3 linked regions of the Lepisosteus oculatus genome follow. The protein of the gene in region 3 interacts with the protein of the main gene of each other region in a pairwise test. Links are inferred from orthologs where the notes say so. Each region holds a gene or a part of one and is shown on either strand. Other genes may lie near its edges.

Region 1 (6,928 bases), on a different chromosome or scaffold from region 3:
TACAGGGTGGGGCATGATAATGTGACAGGTGCGCCCCCTGGGGGACAGACGGGGAAGCACAGGGTGCTGTAAATGAGGGCTCGGAGCTGGGGGAGACTGTGGGAAGCTGAAGGAGATCTGGGGTGTGTTTTTTCTGACACATGGTTCCGGTGGGGGTGGGGGTCAAGACACAGGACACACTGCACAGTCACAGAACCTCTTCAGAACACGGTCCGGTCTGTCCAGTTTGATCAGCAAAAAGACCCGCGGTGCTCTGACCCTCCTGTAACTCTGTCGCCCCCCCAGATTACACTGTGGGTCCGGAGAACTGCAGCCAGGAGCTGCAGGACCTGAAGCCGGGCCAGAGGTACCAGTTCTGGGTCCGGGCTGAAACTGGAGCTGGAGAGGGGCCAAAGAGCATTGTGGACTTCACCACCAAAGACAAAACAGGTACTGTACCACTGCCCGCTGCGCCCACTTCCTCTTCCTCCTCAGCCTGTCTTCCTCTTGTTCTGGACCTGACCTGGCCTCTCATCTCCCTTCCTCTTCCTCTTCCTGTCTCATCCCCCTTCCTCTTCCTCTCTCCCCTCATCCCCCTTCCTCTTCCTTTCTCTCCCCCCTCATTTCTCTTCTTTCCTCTCCCCCCTCATCTCCCTTCCTCTTCCTTCCTCTTCCTCTCTCTCCCCCCTCATCCCCCTTCCTCTTCCTCTTTCTCCCCCCTCATCTCCCTTCCTCTTCCTCTCTCTCCCCCCTCATCCCCCTTCCTCTTCCTATCTCTCCCCCCTCATCCCCCTTCCTCTTCCTCTTTCTCCCCCCTCATCTTTCTTCCTCTTCTTCTCTCCCCTCATCCCCCTTCCTCTTCCTTTTCCACTCCCCCCTCATCCCCCTTCCTCTTCCTCTCCCCTCATCCCCCTTCCTCTTCCTCTCTCTTGTCTTGTACTTCCTTGGTGTCTTCAGGAGGGTGATCTCGCTGTCTGTGGGTTTGGGGCCATGGTTCAGTGTGTGAATGACTTCTGCTCCTCTGCTCCAGATCTCCCTGTCATCCTGGTACTGTGCATTCTGGGACTGCCAGTAGTGCTGGTGACAGCATTCTGCTTCAAGTAAAGAGCAAGAGAAGTTTATTTGATTTTATTTAAGAAAACTGTCAGTTATTGTTATGCTACTCTGTGACTGTGCTGTGACTCTCTGTGACTGTACTATATCTGTGGCTGTGCTGTATCTCTCTCTGACTGTGCTGTATCTCTCTGTCACTGTACTGGTCTGTGGCTGTGCTGTATCTCTATGTGGCTGTGCTGTATCTCTCTGTCACTGTACACTGTACTGTGTATCTCTCTGTGACTGTGCTGTATCTCTCTGTCGCTGTGCTGTATCTCTCTGTCACTGTACTGGTCTGTGGCTGTGCTGTATCTCTATGTGGCTGTGCTGTATCTCTCTGTCACTGTACACTGTACTGTGTATCTCTCTGTGACTGTGCTGTATCTCTCTGTCGCTGTGCTGTATCTCTCTGTCACTGTACTGGTCTGTGGCTGTGCTGTGTCTCTCTGTGACTGTGCTGTATCTCTCTGTCGCTGTGCTGTATCTCTCTGTCACTGTACTGGTCTGTGACTGTGCTGTATCTCTCTGTGACTGTGCTGTATCTCTCTGTCACTGTACTGGTTTGTGGCTGTGCTGTATCTCTCTGTGACTGTGCTGTATCTCTCTGTCACTGTACTGGTCTGTGGCTGTGCTGTATCTCTATGTGGCTGTGCTGTATCTCTCTGTCACTGTACACTGTACTGTGTATCTCTCTGTGACTGTGCTGTATCTCTCTGTCGCTGTGCTGTATCTCTCTGTCACTGTACTGGTCTGTGGCTGTGCTGTGTCTCTCTGTGACTGTGCTGTATCTCTCTGTTGCTGTGCTGTATCTCTCTGTCACTGTACTGGTCTGTGACTGTGCTGTATCTCTCTGTGACTGTGCTGTATCTCTCTGTCACTGTACTGGTTTGTGGCTGTGCTGTATCTCTCTGTGACTGTGCTGTATCTCTCTGTCACTGTACTGGTCTGTGACTGTGCTGTATCTCTCTGTGGCTGTGCTGTATCACACTGTCAGTGACAGTTCTTGTTCGTGTGACTACAGGTGCTCCTGCAGAAACCAGTTGGTGCCGTCGTGGTGCTGTGAGAAGGTACCTGACCCGCAGAACAGCCGCCTGTACCTGATCCTCAAGATGCCACAGCTGCAGGTCTGTCTCACTGTCCGCGTGTCTGTCTGGGGTCTGTGTGTCCCACTGTCTCCCTGTCCACATGTCTGTCTGGGTCTGTGTGCCCCACCGTCTCCCTGCCTGTCTGTCCATGTGTCTCCCTGGGGTCTCTGTCCGTCCGTCTGTCCACGTGTGTGTCTGGGTCTGTGTGTCTCACTGTCTCCCTGTCTGTCTCCGGTACAGGAGACCAAGGAGGCCGTGTGCCCTGCAGTCTTTCTGCTGGACTCCATGCTCTGCCAGCTGGAGGTTGTGGAAATTCCTCTCGCTCCTGATCCCGGAGAGACCATCGCCAGCACGGAGAGCGCAGAGGAGGGAGGGGGACAGGGGGCCGAGATCTGGAGAGAGAAGGGGGAGAAGGAGCAGGGCAGGGAGGGGGGGTACAGTGAAATGATCAACGAAGAAGTGATATCAGGTCTGCCCTGCTCCCCCACTGATACCCAGCCCTTCTTCTCCGATTACGAGAAGCACTTCATGCCTTCTCCGCTCGACCTGTAGGGGGCAGTATGCAGAAGGCTCTCCACTTGACGTGTGTGGGGCAGTACGCAGGAGGCTCTCATACAAATTGCCCCTTGGGACTCTGTCTCTGTTCACGAGGGCGTGTTGGAAAGAGCTGCCCAGCTACCCTGTGGAAACTGACTGACTGATATTGATCCCATGGGAAGCAGCCCGGATGGGATACTGGGAGGGCGGATCGAAGGGATGGGATCTGCTCTGGGCGTCTCCTCTGGGTCTCGGAGTCTCGGGATCGGCGTGAATGACCAGAACCATCAGTCTGGCTGACCTGCTGTACTCCGGCTCCGGGTCAGAGCTCTGAGCTCAGAGCTCCCGCTGGTTAAAGGTGTTTCTGCACCGGACGGCCAGCAGGGGGCTCTCTCCCCGGGGGACCAGGCGTGCTGAGGCAGTTATTCCCCTGGGCCTGAGGGGACACAGAGCCTGTTCCGTGGAGGATGTAAATGTCTGTGAACTGGCTGTGCTTGGGGCCTGTCCGTACACCTCTGGGGATGTGAAGTTATGTGGCGGGAGGAACAGAGAGCAACAAAGTTGCACATGCGCTTTCCCTCTAGATTATACCATTCTCAGTGCCGGTTTGTATATAAAGAAAGATTGTGGATAGAGATTTTCTCGTTTTTCTGGTGTGATTTTTTTTTTTACGTTTTCTGTGTTTTAGGTGAAATAAAAACAGTTGCTTAAACATCTGCACTGCCAGAATGCAGCTCGTACTCAGCACGGGGCGTTTAGACGTGCTTGTAAGGGAACTTGAGCTCCAGCAGCCTGTCTCACGCGTGGAAACATATCGCGGGTCTGTGACACGTGTTGCACTGCTGCCGTAGCACCTTAGGCAGTACACAAAGTTGTGATCGCCCGCCATGTATATTTCACTTTTTATACATCAGCCTGACGGCGGCTGACGCCGGATACCCTGCGGCAGGAGAAAAATAAAAGGTGAGATGAAAGACTCCCATTTTCAAACCGAAGACATCTTAATCACTACAAAAGCGTGAAGAACGTCGGAGCCAACATGGCGGCTAGATTCACACAAGGGCTTTGGAGAGAGAAGGCAGTTTCATTTCTCCGACCCTAACCCGGCCACCATTGAGGGAAACCGCCGCAGCTGCCGCAGACGGCTAAATGCCGCCTTTCCGGGCACGTGACGAAATCTGCACTCCACGATTGGCTGGGAGACCGGAAAGAGCGGTGGACGGAAGCCGGAGGGGCTCAGGCAGAATTATTGGGGTCGAGCGCGCGCTGCTTTGCTTCCCACTCCCTCCAGCGCGAGAGCGAGCCGCAGCAGCAATAGCAGAAGAAGGCAGAGGGGTTTTGCATCACGGCCGCGATAGCAGTAATTGAATACTGTTAATAAAGCTAAGCTAATCAGTAATTATTTAGGGCCGCGCCGTGACGATCCAGATTTACATACTACACTACTCGGCGAGATCTCCAGGTGAGAGTTCTGGCGTTGTTTTTGCCGATTTGTAACCCGTGTCTGGAAGCACGCAGAGGGATTTCGCGTGAAAAGGGAACGGCGGGTCTCCGACCTGGGAAAATTTAAAAGTTGCGCCTCATTATTCGCCCAAGTGTTGTATTTTGTAAGCTCGAGTACCCTTTCCAGGCGTGTGTCTCCGCACAGAAGGCAGCCGGGTTTCAGCCGATAGGCGCTTGCGGCGGAAACCCGAAACGAGGCCGCTGCGGCCTAGATCCGCGCAGAAGCCTGGGGCTGTCGTGATTTCCACACCGGCGGTGCGGATACCCATCCTGGCTGTAGGAAACTGGTGGGATTGGAGGGCTACAGATCTCCTCTGGTTGGGGACAGAGACCATGTTTAAGAGGTGTTGCAGGAATGGGCTGCTTCAGGGGTGAGGGGCGGTGTAGGTGATTGTTTAGTGTGGTGGGGAAGGCAGCGGCTTGCCCGCTGTCCAGACGAGCGATGATAATGACGATCGCGTGGGTTAGAGGGACCATGGGATTATGGCGGTTAAACCGGGTCAGGCTGAGATTTATATCCTGATCTGTTGGTCTCTTTTCGTCCCCAATCCGATTATAAAGTATAGCCCTGTGGCCGGAGGATTGAGAGGCGGTAGGTCCCGTACCGTTCTCCGCGCGGATACCTGTGGCTGTGCAGGGAAGTGGGCCGGTAATGCAGTTTTCCGGGCAGTATGTAGAACTGCTGTCTGGCGATAACTGTCTAGATTTCAATCAACTGTAATGTTACAACAAGGGATTAGTTTTCTCACAGTAGGAGCTACAGTCCCAGTGCAGTAGAACAGTCCTGTTACAATAGGAGATACAGTCCCAGTGCAGTAGAACAGTCCCGTTACAATAGGGGCTACAGTCCCAGTGCAGTAGAACAGTCCTGTTACAATAGGGGCTACAGTCCCAGTGCAGTAGAACAGTCCTGTTACAATAGGGGCTACAGTCCCAGTGCAGTAGAACTGTCCCGTTACAATAGGGGCTACAGTCCCAGTGCAGTAGGACAGACCCGTTACAATAGGGGCTACAGTCCCAGTGCAGTAGGACAGACCCGTTACAATAGGGGCTACAGTCCCAGTGCAATAGAACAGTCCTGTTACAATAGGAGCTACAGTCCCAGTGCAATAGAACAGTCCTGTTACAATAGGAGCTACAGTCCCAGTGCAGTAGAACAGTCCTGTTACAATAGGAGCTATAGTCCCAGTGCAATAGAACAGTCTTTTTACACAGATTACTGTTGTGTTACAGTAAAAGCTGTGGAGAACAGCTTTATTCAAAGAAAGCTCGTACTGCTAGGAGGACAGTGGAGCTTCTGCCACAGCCACGGTGGGCTCAGGGTCTGGCTACAGAGTCAGGGATACATTTGTGACCGCAGTGCCTTCACACCTCACACGACGTGGCTCTCCACAGGCAGTGGCTGTGTGTGAGCCCGCAGCTCTGCCGGCACGGGCCCGGCGCCCCCCAGTGCTGCTCCGCACTGCTGTCCTGGCTTGCTTTCTCACGGTGCCTTTTTCTGTGTGTGCGCAGGATGGAGTGGCAGCCTGACGAACAGGGGCTCCAGCAGGTCCTCCAGCTCCTGAAGGACTCCCAGTCTCCCAACACGGCCACTCAGAGGGCCGTCCAGCAGGCATCCTTTACTGGCCGCGGGGCTGGGGCGGTGGGGTGGGAGGTGGGGGTCTGTGTGGTGGGTCTGGGTCCACGGTACTGTGTGCTGCCCTGTTGTCCTTAACTGCTGCGCTAAGAAACTGGAGCAGCTGAACCAGTTTCCCGACTTCAACAACTACCTGATCTTCGTGCTCACGCGGCTGAAGACGGAAGGTGAGTGTGCACAAGTCTGGGGAGCCCCAGCTCCGTCTTCCTCTCCAGGGGTGATGGGCCCGAGGTTCTGCAGTCGCTGGCTTCACCGTCTCCTGTCCTGGCTCACCTGCTGTCTTCTCCCCCCCCCCACCTCCAGACGAGCCCACTCGCTCCCTGAGTGGGCTGATCCTGAAGAACAACGTGAAGGCCCACTACCAGAACTTCCCCCCCACCGTGGCCGACTTCATCAAGCAGGAGTGCCTGAACAACATCGGGGACCCCTCCCCCCTGATCCGGGCCACCATCGGTGAGACTTGGGGGTGACGGGAAGAGGGGGCGGGGGCTAGGACTGGGGTAAAAGTCCCTTTCGCTCTGCTGTCCTGCAGTTCTTACTGGCAGGGCACTTGGGACACTCTATTGCAAAGGAGGTGAAAACAGTGGTAGGATTACTGATCACGGAATAGTTCTTTGACAATGATGTGGAAGCGCTTAGAGAGCTGAGAAATATTCTAGCATGTAAGTACAAGTTAAAAGTTTAAATAGAGATGTATCACATGTGTTCAAATCCAAAGAGCTGAACCTTGTTACTCTGGAGGAGCAGGCTATGGTCTAGATTTCCAAAGCCTCAAAGAGACACTGACAGAATCAGTCTAGCGGATGTCTTCACAGCTTGGGGTGGGGCAACTACAGTGCAAACGGAATGGAAATGGATTTGTAATCACTTCTTTAAACAGGATTGTGGGAGTCGGGCTCATCGCTTGGTTACTAAGTACTGAACGGGCTAGATGGGCTCTCTTCTCTCCTGACTTCACTCTCACTCCTCCTGTGTGAATCCGTATGTAGTGTTACAAATAGCTTTTAGCAGAGCAGTGCAAGGAGCAGTTAGGATCGGAGAGGTCAGGGATGTACAGCCCATTATGCCTGATGTGTTTCTAGTGATGTAATGA
Region 2 (7,440 bases), on a different chromosome or scaffold from region 3:
CTCCTAACAACTGGTTGAGCACACTGGTCTGAGAGATCTCTGGATTATAATCTATTGTAATAGAATTGATGCATCAAATCCTTTTGATTTCATCTCTTAATTCCATCATCTCCACTTAGAAGGCAGGCTCCACCTTGAATTTTGCATTCATCCATTTTCTAATCGTTTCTTTCAATTCAGGGTGGCGGGGGAGACAGAGTCTATACTGGCAAGCAGCAGGCACATGGCAGGATGCAGATGCCAGTTCATCACTGGGCCCACTCAAACACAAACAAGCACACACTCACGCCTGGGTCATGTTTCCTCAGCAGCCAATTCACCTACACGTACTGTATGTCTTTGGACTGTGGGTGGAAAACAGAGCACCCAGAGACAATGCACGTGAACACCGAGAGAATCCCAGTAACTGAGCCCAGGGTTCCCAGCGCTGCAAGGCAGCAATGTTAACCTCTGCGCCTCCCCCTTGTATGTCAGTGCCTCACAAACTCGATTCTTCCATCCGGTCACCAGTGTCGTTCTAAAACACGTTGCCCTGCACCAAGCTCTAAAAGCCAGTAATAAATTCTGCACAACCTGTCGCTCGGGCCAGAAAAGTGAATCGGATCCAGCGCGGGCCGTTCTCCTGCACCAGGAGCAGGGTGACCGGGTCGCACTCCAGGCCCGTCTCCTCCCTCACCTCCCTTCTCATCCCCTCCACAATGCTCTCGTTCTCCTCCATCCTGCCGGCGGGGAGGTACCACTGCCCGTGGCACTCGGGTTTCGCCTCCTGCATCATCAGCACTTCGTTCTGTGAGGCAGGAGGCCAGCAGACACACAAGACACACCATGAGGCCGGAGGCATCCCTCAACGCGCTCGTTTGCATGTAGGGTATGGGTGCCGCAGGGCTCGGAGACACAGAGTGCACAGGATAATCAAGTCACTGGATATTCACTCATATCGTCAACTAAAGATAATCATTTACTAATCCTTACTACGATCTTTTTCTCATTAAATCTTTGTTGTAGGCACTAGCTTGTGTGGGATTTTAACTACATACAGCTGTGTTTCTAATATTAAAATACGGAGCAGTTTGGCTAGTGGAAGTAAAAGAATAAGTAAAAACACTTTAGGACACTGTTAATATTTCTATACTTTAATATGTATTTAGTATGTATGTAAAAAAAATACTTATTGACTTCAATCAGTGTGCTGTACCTAATGGTACCAGAAAACCATAAAACGTTTGTATTTAAAGCCAATAGATGGCAGTATGAATCTACAGGGTCATAGAGGACAGGAGCTTAGCACTAAAATAAAATAACTGCTTGTTGAGGAGAGTGATACACAACTCTTAAAAAGCACGGGCTTGAAAGTAATAAACGACAATTTAAGTAAGTGCTTTCACAGACTGAAATACACAATTTACCACTGAGTTGACGGCGGTAATTACCTTCTATTGGCTAAATGGAAGCTTACAGTTGACATTTGTTTACATTCGTACAGCGTTTTAATCCCAAAGAATCTCAAAGCTCTTCAAATAAGAAACCTGCTTCTATTGAATAAACACTTCACCCTTCACTATTGTATAAAGATTGAAAGTACTGTATTTTGTACTATTCTATTTTTTAAATTAAAATCCAGAAGAGTTCTGGTTTGGGAAGTCCAGTCGGTTAGCTGGGCTCGGGTACAAATAACGTTTCTAATGCCGCATGGCACGTTTCTGCTCTCCGAAACAAAAAATGAATCCAAAACGTTGAAAAGCTATCTTCCGGTCTACCGCGTTTACCTTTTCGTTAAAGATGACGCCGCAGACGATGTAGCAGGTAGTTTTTCTTAATGCTACCGACTGCAGGTCCGGAGCGGAATCAAACCGCTGCACGGGCGAGCCTTCACCGCTCAGAATCTTCTCCAACTCGTCTTCCACTGTCCGATGAGCCGAACCCATTGCTGGGGAAAGCGAAGTCCCGGTCCGGCCCGAACCTTCTGTTTATAATCGAAGAAATTCGGCGACTGAGTTTGGTTTGCAGATCCCTTAACGGGCTTAAAGAAAATAATATAGGGAAGTTAACTTAAATATATATAATTTGTGTTTTGGGCAACGCTTGGTGGAAACATGTGATCGTCACTAGTTTCACCGAGAAGAAACTCGTCTATCGATTAGCGCTTCAATGCACCTTTTTTAAAAGGTAGTTATTATTGCATCATGGAAACCAGCGATCTGGTGCATTGTTCCTGGGTTCAATTCATAGCTGCGTAGTACACAGAGCTAAAGCACCTGACAAATGCTGATGGATGCAGATGTACAATGTTGTGGTAACTGTATCCACCGTAAAGATTACTGGGAGGGCTCATAAAATTGTAAAAAAAAACTATGATTAGTAAGGAGCTAAATGCAACGTCCTTGGACTGGACTCCCAAGTGCCTCTGCAGCAACCGTGTTTTTTCTGCTACTGCCCAGGAGTCATTGAAATCAAATCTGTATTGTTTACCAAACCAGAAATCTCCGTCTGACATACATACAAAAACAAACTCAGCAAAAGTGTTTCGTACATCTGTCAACAACCGGAAAGTGGACATGCAATTCAGTTTTACCTAAAACGCAGCTCTGCTTTTACTGGTACGCTAGCTGTTTTCTTCGTTAGCACGTACAGTATATGTTGTACAGTAATAACAGCGGAAGTCCAGCCCACCCACTGTCGTTGGCTGCGAGCTAAGGGATAGTAAAAAAAGTCCAAGATACCATTATAACGCACATAACAAAACGCGCACAAAAGGTTTGATTGCACAAAACAGATACAGTACCTGCAGAACTGCGTTTTTTCTTCTGTAGTCTCACTGCTACAGATAGGCTATCTATAAAGTGCTTTTCTTCAACATTCACATGTTTAATAAGTATTTTTTTGTGTGGCCGGCAATGTATCCTAATGACAAGTCCTAAATGTAGCATACAATTTGAACCATTAGTTATCTTTTGCTTACAGCTGCGAGTGTTCTACTCCTCCAGAATAAAAGATGATGGTCCTGGTAAATTAATTTACGAATGACAGGATAGTTAATATTTTTATTTACTGCATTTGTTGACGAGTCGAATTTACAGCTCAGACTTCAGCCATAAATGGACTATTTACTTCGATAACTACTTATTTTGGATGCATTTGGAGCTCTGTAGCTTATTCTCAGCACGGTCTTAAATGGAAAACAGTCAAAAATGAAGAAACAGCTGAAGGAAGGGATATGCATTTATTCATGCGTGCAGATTATTTGTACGAATGCGCCTAAATGTGAAACCTCTTCCACAGACCTTACAAATAAACCCTTCCATCAGCATATTTAGAGTAAGGAGCGCGTCCTTGAAAAACAGACAACTGTAGCTAGCTGCTGGCCGAAGTACAATCATCGTTACTCTTCACTGTGCGGGCTTGCAGCGACGTTTTTTCTTTGTATCCTCTTTCTAAATTGTCCTTCTTCAACAGCTGCTGCTGCCTGGTACGTGTGCCAGGCGTACGCCTGTGTGCGCGGAAGAAGAAGGGTTAACCTTAGCTACGGGCCCGTTTGTAGAGTGACGCATGCTCCGTGCAGTCCACTCCACTCGAACTCAATGGATAGCCCAACCTGAGCTGTCCGGACAAACAACGCTGGGAAGTCAGTGAATCAGCATATCTAGTCGTTATTGCCAGCACATGGTAGTCATTTGTTGTTGTTTTTTTTCTTTGAAAAATAACCGCTCATAAAATAATCTGGGAATTTGGTAGAGAAAAACAGAGACAAAGATGGCTCGATAAAGGTTGTCGGAGGTGGTCTACTACAGTATGTGGAAAAGGCATCTACTTCTTAGGAGGCAACGCCTGGATAGAGGAAAAAGAATTGAGTTGTTAAGCGATTACGCCGACTTTATTTCTTAACGAAGATGGGTAAAACTTTGCCCCAGAGCTGCTTTACTTTCGTTTTTTGGGGGATTTTGCTTTCAGACGGGTTCACCTACGGTAGTAAAAGTAAGTGACGCCGATCTATTCACGAATTCAGACTTCAGTAATTAAGTCTACATTTTTACTCAAAGCTGCTCTGGCACTTTGAGTACCATACTCATCGTCGTAACCTACAAATGCAGCCTTTTTTCAGTTCAACAACCTGCCGAGAAACTTTTGTGGTCCACCGTTTGTGACCGTCTAACATGTGCTTCGCTATGTTTCTACACGGGTCGTTTTGAGAAACGCGAGTTTCTAAAAGCTGTTCCGTAATGATATTCTTTGCTGAATAATTTGTATACTCCATACAGCCCATTTAATTGTCCACTTCAAAAGTTAATGGCAGTTTGAAGGTGAATGTTGTAGGTAACCGAGGTGAATGAATTGGGGCTGGTGTTCTTGGGGAAGCCTTTGGGAAAAAAAACGACGCAGCGGATGAAGGGAGTTTTCGATTATACGGTTAGTGAATACCTGCCAAGAAAACTAACACAGTTCACATCGTACATCATCCTGCTGTCCTTGCAGTGTCGCTTTGAGATGGAAATAAAGAGGTTGGCCGGTATAGATTAAAGCGAGGTGGTGTGTACACCCAAAACGATTGCATGTACAGTAGTGATAAAATCCCCTTGTCTCCCTGTGTTTCAAATAATCCATGTAGTTGTTGTGTTAAATTGGGCTTCTTGAAGTGTTGCCGTGGTGGGAAAACATCCAGTGTTTGTCAACCTGCACGCTGCCACATAGTTTACACATTTACGAAGAGTTGTTCGTTTAAGTATCATCTACTGTAGTTATAAAGGGTCTTGGGTGTACAGTCTTGGCAGGCGGTCTAATCGTGTGTTTTAAGCGTTTCCAGTAACTGGCTTTAAACGGGAACAGATTGTGGTGGTGTCCCACAGACGCATCGTCTGATTGAAGCGGGTTTGACAAATACTTTCTGTGGTCTACAACAGTTGTCCTGCTTTGGGAGGTCTTTCACCGTAAAGGCAACACATCGATCTGTTGTGCTTGCTGTGAAGATTTGTAATTTTACTCGATCTCAAACGGCCGCCTATTACGATTGTTATTGTTGCCAAAAATAAGTTCTTCAGTTTCATCTTTTTTTTTTGGAGGGCGTCTGGCAGTCGATTTTTGAAAGTAATTTAATACTTGGATAATGCTATTGAACATGCCTGGATTGAATCGTTTAAATGACAAATAGATCCTGTTCAGAGGAATTCTAGAAAATGATTGAAAAGTAAGTCCTTTATTGTTGTAGTTTAACTGAAAACATGACAACATTTGTTTTTGCTGCAGTTGTGTGATATTTTTTTCCCGCTCAGACTCAGGTAGGACTGTACACCTTGAGTGGTGCTGAATGGGTTGTCAAGCCTGTTTTATAGGTTCTACGATCTGAAGTGCTTTCACAATAACGAGCTGTCCAAACACCTCCCATTTTCTACAATACCGCTTGTCGTTTTGTTTTTCAAGAATTAAACAATTCTTTCCACAGTTTGGAAGCAGAATGACTTTTTCCCATCAGAGAAGCTAGTCTTGGGGCCCATTACTTTTTATTATTGAGATGCTTCCCCTCGCTCGGATTATAAGCGTAGTTTCATTGTTATGCAGATATTCAGATTTACGTTAAAACCTCTTCTCCCTCGGGATCTGCCGCCTCCGTCAGTTATCGCTGGTCTGCGTAACATCATACTCTGCTTGACGTCAAAGTCCTTGGAAGATAAGTAGTGATACAACGGAAATGATATTGACGGGCAGCAAATGTCAGCTGGGAAAAGCTGGAGAGCCTTACAGCGACGGTGGATGGCTTCCCCATTCAGTCAGGAATCTGCTCAAATTCTATTAATATCCGATGCTGTGAACTTAATTCCCGTTTTTTTTTAATAAAAAGGTTCGATTTCTCTAACTCTTTGCTCCAAAACTCCAAAATATGTACAAAACTCTACAACTAGAATTCTAATTCACACCAGACCCTATAGCATATCACTCCTACACCTAAATTTCTACATCGGTTGCCTATAAAATGAAGTGTTCAGTATAAGTCCTTGGTAGTGACATTTAAAGCTCTTAATAGGCTCCATTCCCATAGGCTCTGTTCTGTTGGGACTGGTCCTTTGCTCACAGTAGCCAGGATCTTGGTCTTCTGGTGACTGTGCCTTTGCAGAGGCTGCTCTGTTGTTATGATTTGCACTTTCTCCGGCTCTTCAAGAGACAAATTATTCGACTCTTTTGAAATCTAAGCCTAAAACTCACCTTTTGTATTAGGACCTATGTCTGATTGCCCTACAGATGATCCTGTATGTTCTTGTTCCGTTTTTTTCTTCTTTTGCTGATCTCTATCACTGTGTACAGCATCCTTGGGATTGGAAAAGTGTTTTATAAATAAAAAATATTTCATGATCCATTATGCAGTGCTTTCAGAACTGTTTTCTTCCTAAAAAAAGTGTCTTGCCAGTCAGGATCCCTTTTCATTGAGGTGTAAATTATCAGGAATAGTGTGGAATCTGAGAGGACTGGGCTCAACTCTGACAGCACCTATACAGTGGAAACAGCCTTAGCAAATACATCATCTCAGATCCTTTGATTGCTGTTTAGTAATTGTTATACTCTAGCCCCCTCACATCTAAGTATTTAAAAACTATAATGCATAGTTTTATTTTAAATACAATAATGGATTTTTAAAGTCTACGCTGTCTGTATTGCTTTCATTACTGTATTTTGTATTGACCATGACAAGATTCAGAGAACATCTTTTGTTTCAGGCCATAATGGAAAATGTCCTTTGAATGCCACAGGCTGTTTTTTGTTTTGACAGACCAAGCCCTGAACACTGTTCCAGAAGAGTGCTGGAAAGTGCTGTCTGCCATCGTATATCTACTGTATTGTTCTTTTGTAAATAAATGACTAGCCTTTTGATTTTTCTTAACATTTCTAGAAGCTTGTGGGTTTTCATTTTTTTTGTATTTTCTAAGGCCATTTACAGAAACTTTGGTTTGGATATTTTTCTGTATTTGTGCTGAAAGATAGGTTTGTCACAATAAGAAAACATTAATACTGAAGTATTTCTGGGTATTCAGTATTTTATTTCCTCATTTACATCTCTACTATGTACAGGGCTGTTCTGGATAACGTAAACCTCTAAGTTTTATTTAAGCCTTTAGTTTCGCCAGCAGCCATATCACTCTGCAACTCACAACTGGCAACCCACTGAAGCTCAGCAGGTGTGAGCCTGGTCAGTACCTGGATGGGAGTCCTCATGGGAAAAACTAAGGTTGCTGCTGGAAGAGGTGTTAGTGGGACCAGCAGGGGGTGCTCACCCTGCGGTCCATGTGGGTCCTAATGCCCTAGTATAGTGACGAGGACACTATACTGTAAACAGGCGACTTCGGATGAGATGTAAAACCGAGGTCCTGAGTCTCTGTGGTCATTAAAAATCCCAGGGTGTTTCTCGAAAAGAGTAGGGGTGTAACCCCGGCATCCTGGCCAAATTTCCCGTTCGCC
Region 3 (7,907 bases):
TATACATAGCAACATATCACTGAGCGGCTGATGTCGGCTGGCCAATAGCCCCTCGCACTCCTTGAGCTGCCTTAGGAGCATGGATTCTTCTTTTGGGTGGCTTCAAGGTGTGGCCCCCAATGCCTGCAGAGGCCATACTGCCAATATTTCTTAAATTAATCAGATTTAATTGCTAACATAATTAAGATAAATACAGCTTAATTACAGAATGACGTGGGGAATAACCTGCTGCCTTTTATCACCTTACTAGTAGAAGGAAGACAATTTGCCAAGTGATGACCTAAAACAAGGAAGTAAAGGCTTTCAACGCCTGAGAGCAGAATCTACACATGACAAGTAGGACAATGATTAATAAAGTATATAGACATATGATGGTGCTAGTAAACAGTACTTCTGCCAAACTTTGTGCTCAGCGACAAACTTGAGAAGAGCTTTGTTAGGGCTCTAAAGCAGTTAGGTTTTGTTTTGTATTTTGACAATTTACTGCTATTTTCCTTTCTAATTAAAGACACTAATTCTAATTCAGCTTGTGTGTCACGCATGAAAGAGCTGTAAAAGAAGATAACTGAGTGAATTAGTTATCATGGGTTGTAACACACAGACGTTTTTTTTTTGTCCTGGGTAGCTGACACTAAAGTTTATGTTCTGGAAATGGGTGGAAGATACATTAACACTTAATTTGTGGTGGAAGGAAGTTTGCAAAGTGATGCAGAAAGTGCAGTAGTTGATTGCTAGCACTCTAGAGATTAGGAGATCTTAGCATTAATCTACTGCTTCCATGCTTGGAGAAAGACAGCATAGAAGATACAGCATTCTGCTATCCAACACACTTTCTCCTTAATACACCACAAATATGTCCTTATTTTACTTTTTAGTTTAGAAATAACCTTTAACTTTTAATTTGAAGCTCACATGCCAACACAGCTCCGTACTCTGAACAATCTGGGTATTTTATTGGTAAAATTGTTTTTTTTGTATTTAAAATTGTACTAGGATATATCTGACTTATATGAAAGCTAAAAAAATATTATCCGACTAGATACCTGAGATAAGATACATTAACCAGACACCTAATGTCAAGGGGAGAAAAAAGGCATTAAACTCAAAAGGTATTCAGTTACAGGTCCCAGGCAGTTCCTCAGAGATCTTTACTGACCTGAATCCTTTCCTTCTGCACTCCTGAGGGGGCAATGTAGATGTGATCTCTGAAGGGGTAGGCCAGAGAGATACAGTCAGAACACAATCTCATTAAGCATTTGCTTCTAAGTGAAGTAACAAGAACTACTTGCTTTATTTTAACTGAACAAGACAGTTACTGCCTTTATCCAATGAGAAGTTACACCTGTCTTCTCCACAATAAAGAATGTAATCTATATCACCTGGACACTCTTTTTTTAATCTAACACATGAACATGACAAAGGACTGTCTTCACCTCAAAAAAAAAACATACCAGTATAAATCAGACACATTTTAAAGTAACTTACAGGAGGGATTTTATCTTGATGAAATATCCCTGTTACACACATTCACACCTGAAGAAGGCTCCACGGCCAAAACGTGTTTTTTTTTCTTTTCTTTTCAACATGGAATAAACCTATTACTTGTTCCTATAACACTGTTATCCTGTTTACCTCTTGACAACCTCTTTATACATTTGTGATATAGATGCATTGTAGTGCACATGCTTCTACTGCTTCAGCCTCAGTAGATTTAGCACACTGTTGACTTACTATTTAGGCTCACAGCTGAGAGAGTAGACGGTAGTCTCCTGTAAGAGGGCAGTGACTCCAGACAAAATGGAGATTCGGTTTGCAAGGACAAGTGGTCAGGTGAGAATTTAAAAGGGCTGAGGCTTGACAGGGTCAGCCTCTGGCTTCCTTTCCTCACGCCTAGCGCAGCACGCACAGTGGAGGATCTGCGCTCTGTCCCCAGATGGCAAGGCGAGTTACACCTTGAAGACATTTTGTCTGGGGTCACCGGCCTCTCACACCTTCCCAAACCTGAATGGGCACAACTGAATGAAGATTGTCTTCACTTCATACTCTTTCTATGAAATGGCATTTGTTCTCTGAATTGGTGCTGCACACTGGATGACCACACCAGATTTCTAAGCTTCAGGCTTGGCATACTCACCCCTGCCTGAGACTGATACCCCCTCCTGTTCCTGTCACCCAGCCTAACTGGTAGAAGAGTTTGCAGAGCTCAGGAATCAGCAACCTTGGGTTGTCCTTGTCCTGGAATGGAAAATATTCACTAAAACAAACGGCAATCTCATTCTGTCTCAAGCAAATTCCATTACTGTCCAGTCAGTTCAAGGAGTAGGGCACTAGGGAGTATTCTTGACCACCATCCGGTGCAGAGCAGCTCAACATCTGTGCTGTTTTTGTTGCAATATACTGCTCATTTCTTAATTGTGCAAGGCCACAACTCGCAAATAAAATACATGTCGAAGGTATCTGTCACGTGAGTGATTATTTAATTGTGGAACGTCATAATAATTCAGCGGCAATACCACAGAATAAACGCTAAAAGGGACAATTAGCACATTGCATTATGTGCGTCTGTTGCTTGAAAGTTTCTAAAAGCAGGCTGACCACATGGCAGCGTAAACGACGTTTATATCATCGACATTCGCGTTGTCCGGATTTAAAGGGGGGGAAAACTTCAATATTGTTACGTAACGTAAACACATTTTATATTTCTGAGAAAGCAACTTTGGATAAACTTACCTCAATAGATTGGGCACATTTAGAGCAGTCGCGATTATAGACCGCTGAAGACATTTTTAGCAATACTCTTCGGCAAATAAAAATTAATGCCTAAATTAAGGCCTAAACTTGCTTTCGTTCCTTGACCGTGTACTTGGTCACAAGAACGCCTTAAAGAACAGGACGATGAAAACGAAAACCGCTCGCCACCCACCCCTCACGTTTTTGAGGCACAGAAAGTCTAAACAGTACAGCCACTATGTTGGTTTTCGATGGCTGCTGCTCCCTGCTGCTCCCTGCTGCATAAGTCTGCGCAGCGTCTGCACAGATCTGCACAGGTCCGCTTCATGTGACGTCGTATGTGACGTCACTGCGCAGCCCCGGTCAGTAAACTCGGTAACTCTGGAAGACAAGATGCGCATGTTGCTGGTATCATCGTGAGGCACAGCTTGCTGGATCATCTGCAGCTCTGAAAATCTGAATATTATCCAGCCCACAAGTACCAGAATTAAACTAACTGAACATTTCTTTTTGTTTAATTGAGAAACAAATGAGTGTTCCTAAGATGCTAATGATTTAACCTATAAAGGCTATAGGAACTGGGGTTCTGTGTACCAGAGAGGTAAACTGACACCAGAGATATACTGACACTGCACTTGTAATTACTGTCAGAAGTGTTAAATTACCTTAGGTGTGCCTCCAGTCTGTTGTTCTTCCCCCCTCACAATGTATTTTTGTGAAACAAAGGTTGTCAAAATACAGCAGAGAAGCAGGCACAACATTGCAGGAACTCCTCCTGCTACAAACCCTTCTCATCCAACACAATAAGAGATGGAGCAGGTGACCACCTATTCAGCAAAAGATGAGGTAAGCAGGATGTGGATGTGAAAAGGTATCATCCCAACCTGCTTTATTTACTCTACATTGTGAAATCCACATGTTACAGTGTGACATGCCGCATTCCTGTGTCCAGGGGACACATTTTCACAAGAAAACCCCTGGCTTGAGGTGGAGATTACATCAACTACAACTCAAGGGCAAAATGAACACAGGTGCACAACTCTGGTCCTCACAAGAAGAATCCAGCAAGGGTTAATATCCTACTTCCTCCTACTTTTTTTAGTAGCTTGGGTGTTTGGGTACCAACTGATAATGTTTTAAGGAGGGAGCTGTATAACACACCTACACTGAATTAAACTGGAAGGGCTGGGCTTTGCCTGCGCATATGCAACAGTGCGGAGTTTGCAGACTTTTCTGGCTTAGCAGTCGAAATTTGCATGCAGCTCTGCTCTTGCCTGCCCGACCGCCGAGTGCAGTGAGATCTGCGCAGATCTGCAGGCTTTGCGTATAAAGGAAGCGACAAGAAGCGCGAAGGACCTCTTCTCATGGATGGGGTCCTTCTATCACAATTGTCGTTTGTTTTTGTAGTTAGTTATCCTGCCTAAATTTAAATTGTTTTATTTAAAATAAGTGGGAAAATGTCATATTTTCGTTAAACAGCACTAACGTGAAACATGCAGTAAAAAACGTATCCATTCATTTCTGCACTCAGAAACGCAAAACTTTGAAAGGCAGTAGGGTAACTGGTAATTTCCGAGGACACAAATATGGCGGCCTCCTTGCGGATGGGACATCGGGGGATATTGAGTGGTTTGAGGTTAATAAAACTGAAGAAATGCACCGGTTTAACCCAAACTCAGGATGGATATTATCGGCACTTTTTTCAGTCCTCACCAATGTTTGGTAAGTGTTGGCGTGTCACATGATAAAAACCAAAACGCACATCGCTGGCTGGGTTATAATGGAAGGTTGTGTGCTACTTGTACTGCTGTATTTTATTTTTACGCTGTTTTAAAGTTTTTAAAGCGTTAAGACTAGCACGCACGGTTCCCCTTCTAAATTGTAGTACACGTACAAGCCAGAAATAGACAACAGACGGGGACATTTAACGTTGATCATCTCAAGTTACTGTACACATTAGGAGTTTAGATTTTAATTCATAAACATAACATTGCAGTTCTTTATATAGTGCATTAGATCAAGCAATAGGTTTATTCCTGCTGAAAAGAGAAGAATGGGAACACAACGTTTCGGGTGTTGAGCCTTCTTCCGGTGGCACACCCTTCCTCCACCGTCCACACCCGAAGAAGGCTCCATAGCCGAAACGTTGTGTTCTCAGGAATAAACCTTTTCTTGTTCCTTTGCAGCCTACGCATGCTAACGCAGCTATACAGCTGGACTACTTCACAATATGCATTTTATGTGTATTATGTTATATCTTGTTGTTGATTTATGTTGGAATAGGCTGGGGGTAATCAGCATGTTTGCTGTAGCATTAGTTAACGGCAACCTCACCACCTTGTTGCTGATCCCTGCATGTTTCTATTACATAAACTTTGTAAAATTGAGTATATGAACAAAACTATATTAAACTGCATAGTCCACTCAACACTATTTCTACCTTTCATTATGTTATGGTGCTGCTTGTCTAAAGGAGAAAAAAAAGTCTTCTGTCTGCTAAAGGGAGACAAAGGCAATATGAAGGTTATGTGATAGAATAGTAGCCAACCTAAAACTGGGATGAAAACTCGCTTTTCATCAGAGCAGTGACCCACAAAATGAGTCCAAAGCTACATTCAAGTGGAACAACAGAAAGTGAGTGCTATTGAGTGTTCTAGTCATGATTCTGACTTCCATCCAATGGAAAGCCAAGACTTTGAAAATCGGCCATCAATAATAAGTGTCGGTGAGAACAGTCAGCTGCAGTATACATCCTGTTATTTTATTCATTATATCTTTCCAGGTAGTGAGAAGATGAAAGAGTAATCCTTACCAAGTGATTATGAACTCCTATCATTTTTCATACATGATTTGTGTCATATTGTTACTACTTTGTGATTAGTCTTTAAATTCTGCAGGAAAAAAAAGAGAACATTCAAGGCATGCTTGTCTGCCCCCTTAGAGCATAGCAGTCCTTTGTATGATGTTCTGCTTCAGGCCCTGCATCACACAGCGTCGATTAGTACAACTGGGGTTGGCTGTCCCTTTCTTGTTACTGCTTTGGTTACTGTTCCTTTGCATGGCCTTCATGTTGCCTTCATCAGTGCTACATGTTTTAATTTTGCATGGCTATCTCTCTAATGCAGTTTGTTTTCTCCTTATAACCATGCATTATACCGGTCTAACTTGCTAGATCTAAAGCATCATGTACTATTAGGATATGGTGTCATTGACGATTTAGTCTTTAGTAGGTTTTAAAAGGTATCGTAGAACTCATTAACAAAAAGCAATCAGAACAACTGGGTGGAAAGCATTTTAAAAGAAGTGCTAATTCGATCATTGCAATAGTAATGAACAATAATTCCATTTTGTTGTGATTCTTCAAAGGGGCTGCAGGGGGCAGCAAAGTCTCTTTGCAATTGTTTTTTAATCACGGTTTACTTTTTGTACTGAGCCTCCTCAAGAAGTAAAGTTGGCTCTGACCCTTCATCTAGATACCCTGAGTGTTCTTAGACCATTCCAGTCTATCGTCTATTTTGTTTTTCTTGAAGTAGTTTGGGACCTCAGCTACTTGGTTGGGAGAGCAGAAATCCACAACTCTTTTTGTCAAGAAGGATTCTGTTATTTTTGTAGTCTACCTTAAATTAATTCCCTGCTACTTTCCAGTTGTGATCCTGTATTCATTTTTGGTGAAGTAGTCCCCTGGGTTAACTATGTTTGCTGTATATTGTACCCATTACAGTTTTATACACATGTAATACATCTCCTCTTGCTCTGTTGTGTTAAAAGCAAAGACATGCTGCTCTTTTAATCTGTCTGGATAAACCAGTACCTCTTGAGGTAAGGACTCTTGTTTGTCTTGGTTGTCTGAACTCTTTCCATGGCTGTGATATCCTTTTTGTGGAATAGTGTGCAAAACTAAGCACAATATTCAAACTCATGTGTTACAAATGCTTTACAAACCTTAACCATAATCTTCTTTTAAATTAAATGCTTTATACTTTGTGGTTTGGGGTCATCAAAAAATCTGCAGGAACATCCCTTCATGTGTGGTTTCCCACTTTAGAATCATCCAGTCAACTTTTTGTACAGTGCTCTCTTTCTTTTTTCTTTTTTTTTTGTCCAGTACCATTAAGGCTGTTTTTTCTAGACCTGGACTTTTTGCTCCAGGATTTTTTTTTAACCTTAAACATTACATTTGTTTGGGTCACATAAATTGGGTTATACATAGTCCCGTAAAGTTTTTGTACGATTCATAAAGTGTGAGAATTAATTTATTTATTGGTAACCCTCCTCCTCCACCCATCTCTGTGGCTGCTGCTGCTTGTAAGAGTCGGTGTGTTTCCTTCTGTCCTTCAGGAGTGGCCCCAGTCAAAGTGATGATGCCAGCTCTTTCCCCCACCATGGAGGAGGGCAACATCGTCAAGTGGCTGAAGAGGGAAGGTGAGAGAGGTCCTGTCTGCTGCAGCTGTGTCATAACAAAAGGAAATAAAGGAGTGCTTCTGCTGCAAAACGATACGTTTGGAGTGTTTTGTCCTACAACACAGTCCACCTGTGGTCTTCCTTCTTTATTTCACAAGTTCATCCTGCTGGCGGTTGAGCTTATTAAACATGTGGAGTGATATTCGAAAAAAAGAAAAACACACAGAAAGGATTCTATAAACCCCTATGTTCATCCATCTGTGGGGAGCTGGACTATGGCAGTGTTATGATGTTATGGCCCGATGCGGTCCATCAATAATAGGCTGTGATCTGGGAGACCACGAAGTCGTAGTACCTTGTCAGGATTGGTGGGGAGGCCCATGTGGAAAGGTCTGGTACCGTTTAGTTGTTGGAGCTCCACTTGTAGCACTGTACAGTCAGATTGGGCCCTCACTCTCCCGGGTGAAGGATGTGGTCTCATACTGACATGACAGCATTCCAGTAGGATAACTCGCATGTGTGCATCTGCTGCTTCTTGACAGTGGCTTTCTTGCGAGAAGAGAATTTTGTAAGAATGCTGTGGCTGCCTGAATGTGCAGACTGGAGCCCTGTTAAACATTTGAAAGATGAGCTGTGAAGATTATCTAGCAGCTAGCATAGAGACTAGTGAAGAGGCATTATGAGAGAGAAATAGGACGGGTTAGACTGAATCTGTACCCTGATGCATGACATGCGTCATGGATGTATAGATTGTATTGCTTCTAATGGTGGCCAGA

Evidence for each region. The genes of interacting proteins can lie anywhere in the genome.
Region 1: the proteins of apip (region 3) and tnpo2b interact in binary tests that used the Homo sapiens proteins (3 or more experiments, as listed by UniProt). The two-hybrid records come from large-scale screens. The link is inferred for Lepisosteus oculatus from reciprocal best matches to the Homo sapiens genes APIP and TNPO2.
Region 2: the proteins of apip (region 3) and nudt18 interact in binary tests that used the Homo sapiens proteins (3 or more experiments, as listed by UniProt). The two-hybrid records come from large-scale screens. The link is inferred for Lepisosteus oculatus from reciprocal best matches to the Homo sapiens genes APIP and NUDT18.

The regions. Positions count from the first base shown.
Region 1 is NC_090706.1:13,311,090-13,318,017, reverse strand, and holds the start of tnpo2b (transportin-2), read left to right. Parts: upstream 1-3,925; 5' UTR 3,926-4,158; intron 4,159-5,711; 5' UTR 5,712-5,712; coding exon 5,713-5,811; intron 5,812-5,926; coding exon 5,927-6,002; intron 6,003-6,138; coding exon 6,139-6,288; intron 6,289-6,928. Other genes in the region: il12rb2l (interleukin 12 receptor, beta 2a, like), read left to right, coding at 1-28, 286-429, 1,010-1,079, 2,096-2,198, 2,400-2,711. UniProt on the Homo sapiens protein: Probably functions in nuclear protein import as nuclear transport receptor. Serves as receptor for nuclear localization signals (NLS) in cargo substrates.
Region 2 is NC_090697.1:68,281,168-68,288,607, reverse strand, and holds the start of nudt18 (8-oxo-dGDP phosphatase NUDT18), read right to left. Parts: upstream 3,004-7,440; 5' UTR 2,960-3,003; intron 2,666-2,959; exon of another isoform or gene 2,573-2,665; intron 2,021-2,572; exon of another isoform or gene 1,964-2,020; 5' UTR 1,926-1,963; coding exon 1,767-1,925; intron 788-1,766; coding exon 574-787; intron 1-573. Other genes in the region: disintegrin and metalloproteinase domain-containing protein 9, read left to right, coding at 3,888-3,972. UniProt on the Homo sapiens protein: Mediates the hydrolysis of oxidized nucleoside diphosphate derivatives. Hydrolyzes 8-oxo-7,8-dihydroguanine (8-oxo-Gua)-containing deoxyribo- and ribonucleoside diphosphates to the monophosphates. Hydrolyzes 8-oxo-dGDP and 8-oxo-GDP with the same efficiencies.
Region 3 is NC_090716.1:14,265,545-14,273,451, reverse strand, and holds the start of apip (methylthioribulose-1-phosphate dehydratase), read right to left. Parts: upstream 3,020-7,907; 5' UTR 2,785-3,019; coding exon 2,731-2,784; intron 2,236-2,730; coding exon 2,135-2,235; intron 1,206-2,134; coding exon 1,157-1,205; intron 1-1,156. Other genes in the region: pdhx (pyruvate dehydrogenase protein X component, mitochondrial), read left to right, coding at 4,317-4,452, 7,069-7,152. UniProt on the Homo sapiens protein: Catalyzes the dehydration of methylthioribulose-1-phosphate (MTRu-1-P) into 2,3-diketo-5-methylthiopentyl-1-phosphate (DK-MTP-1-P).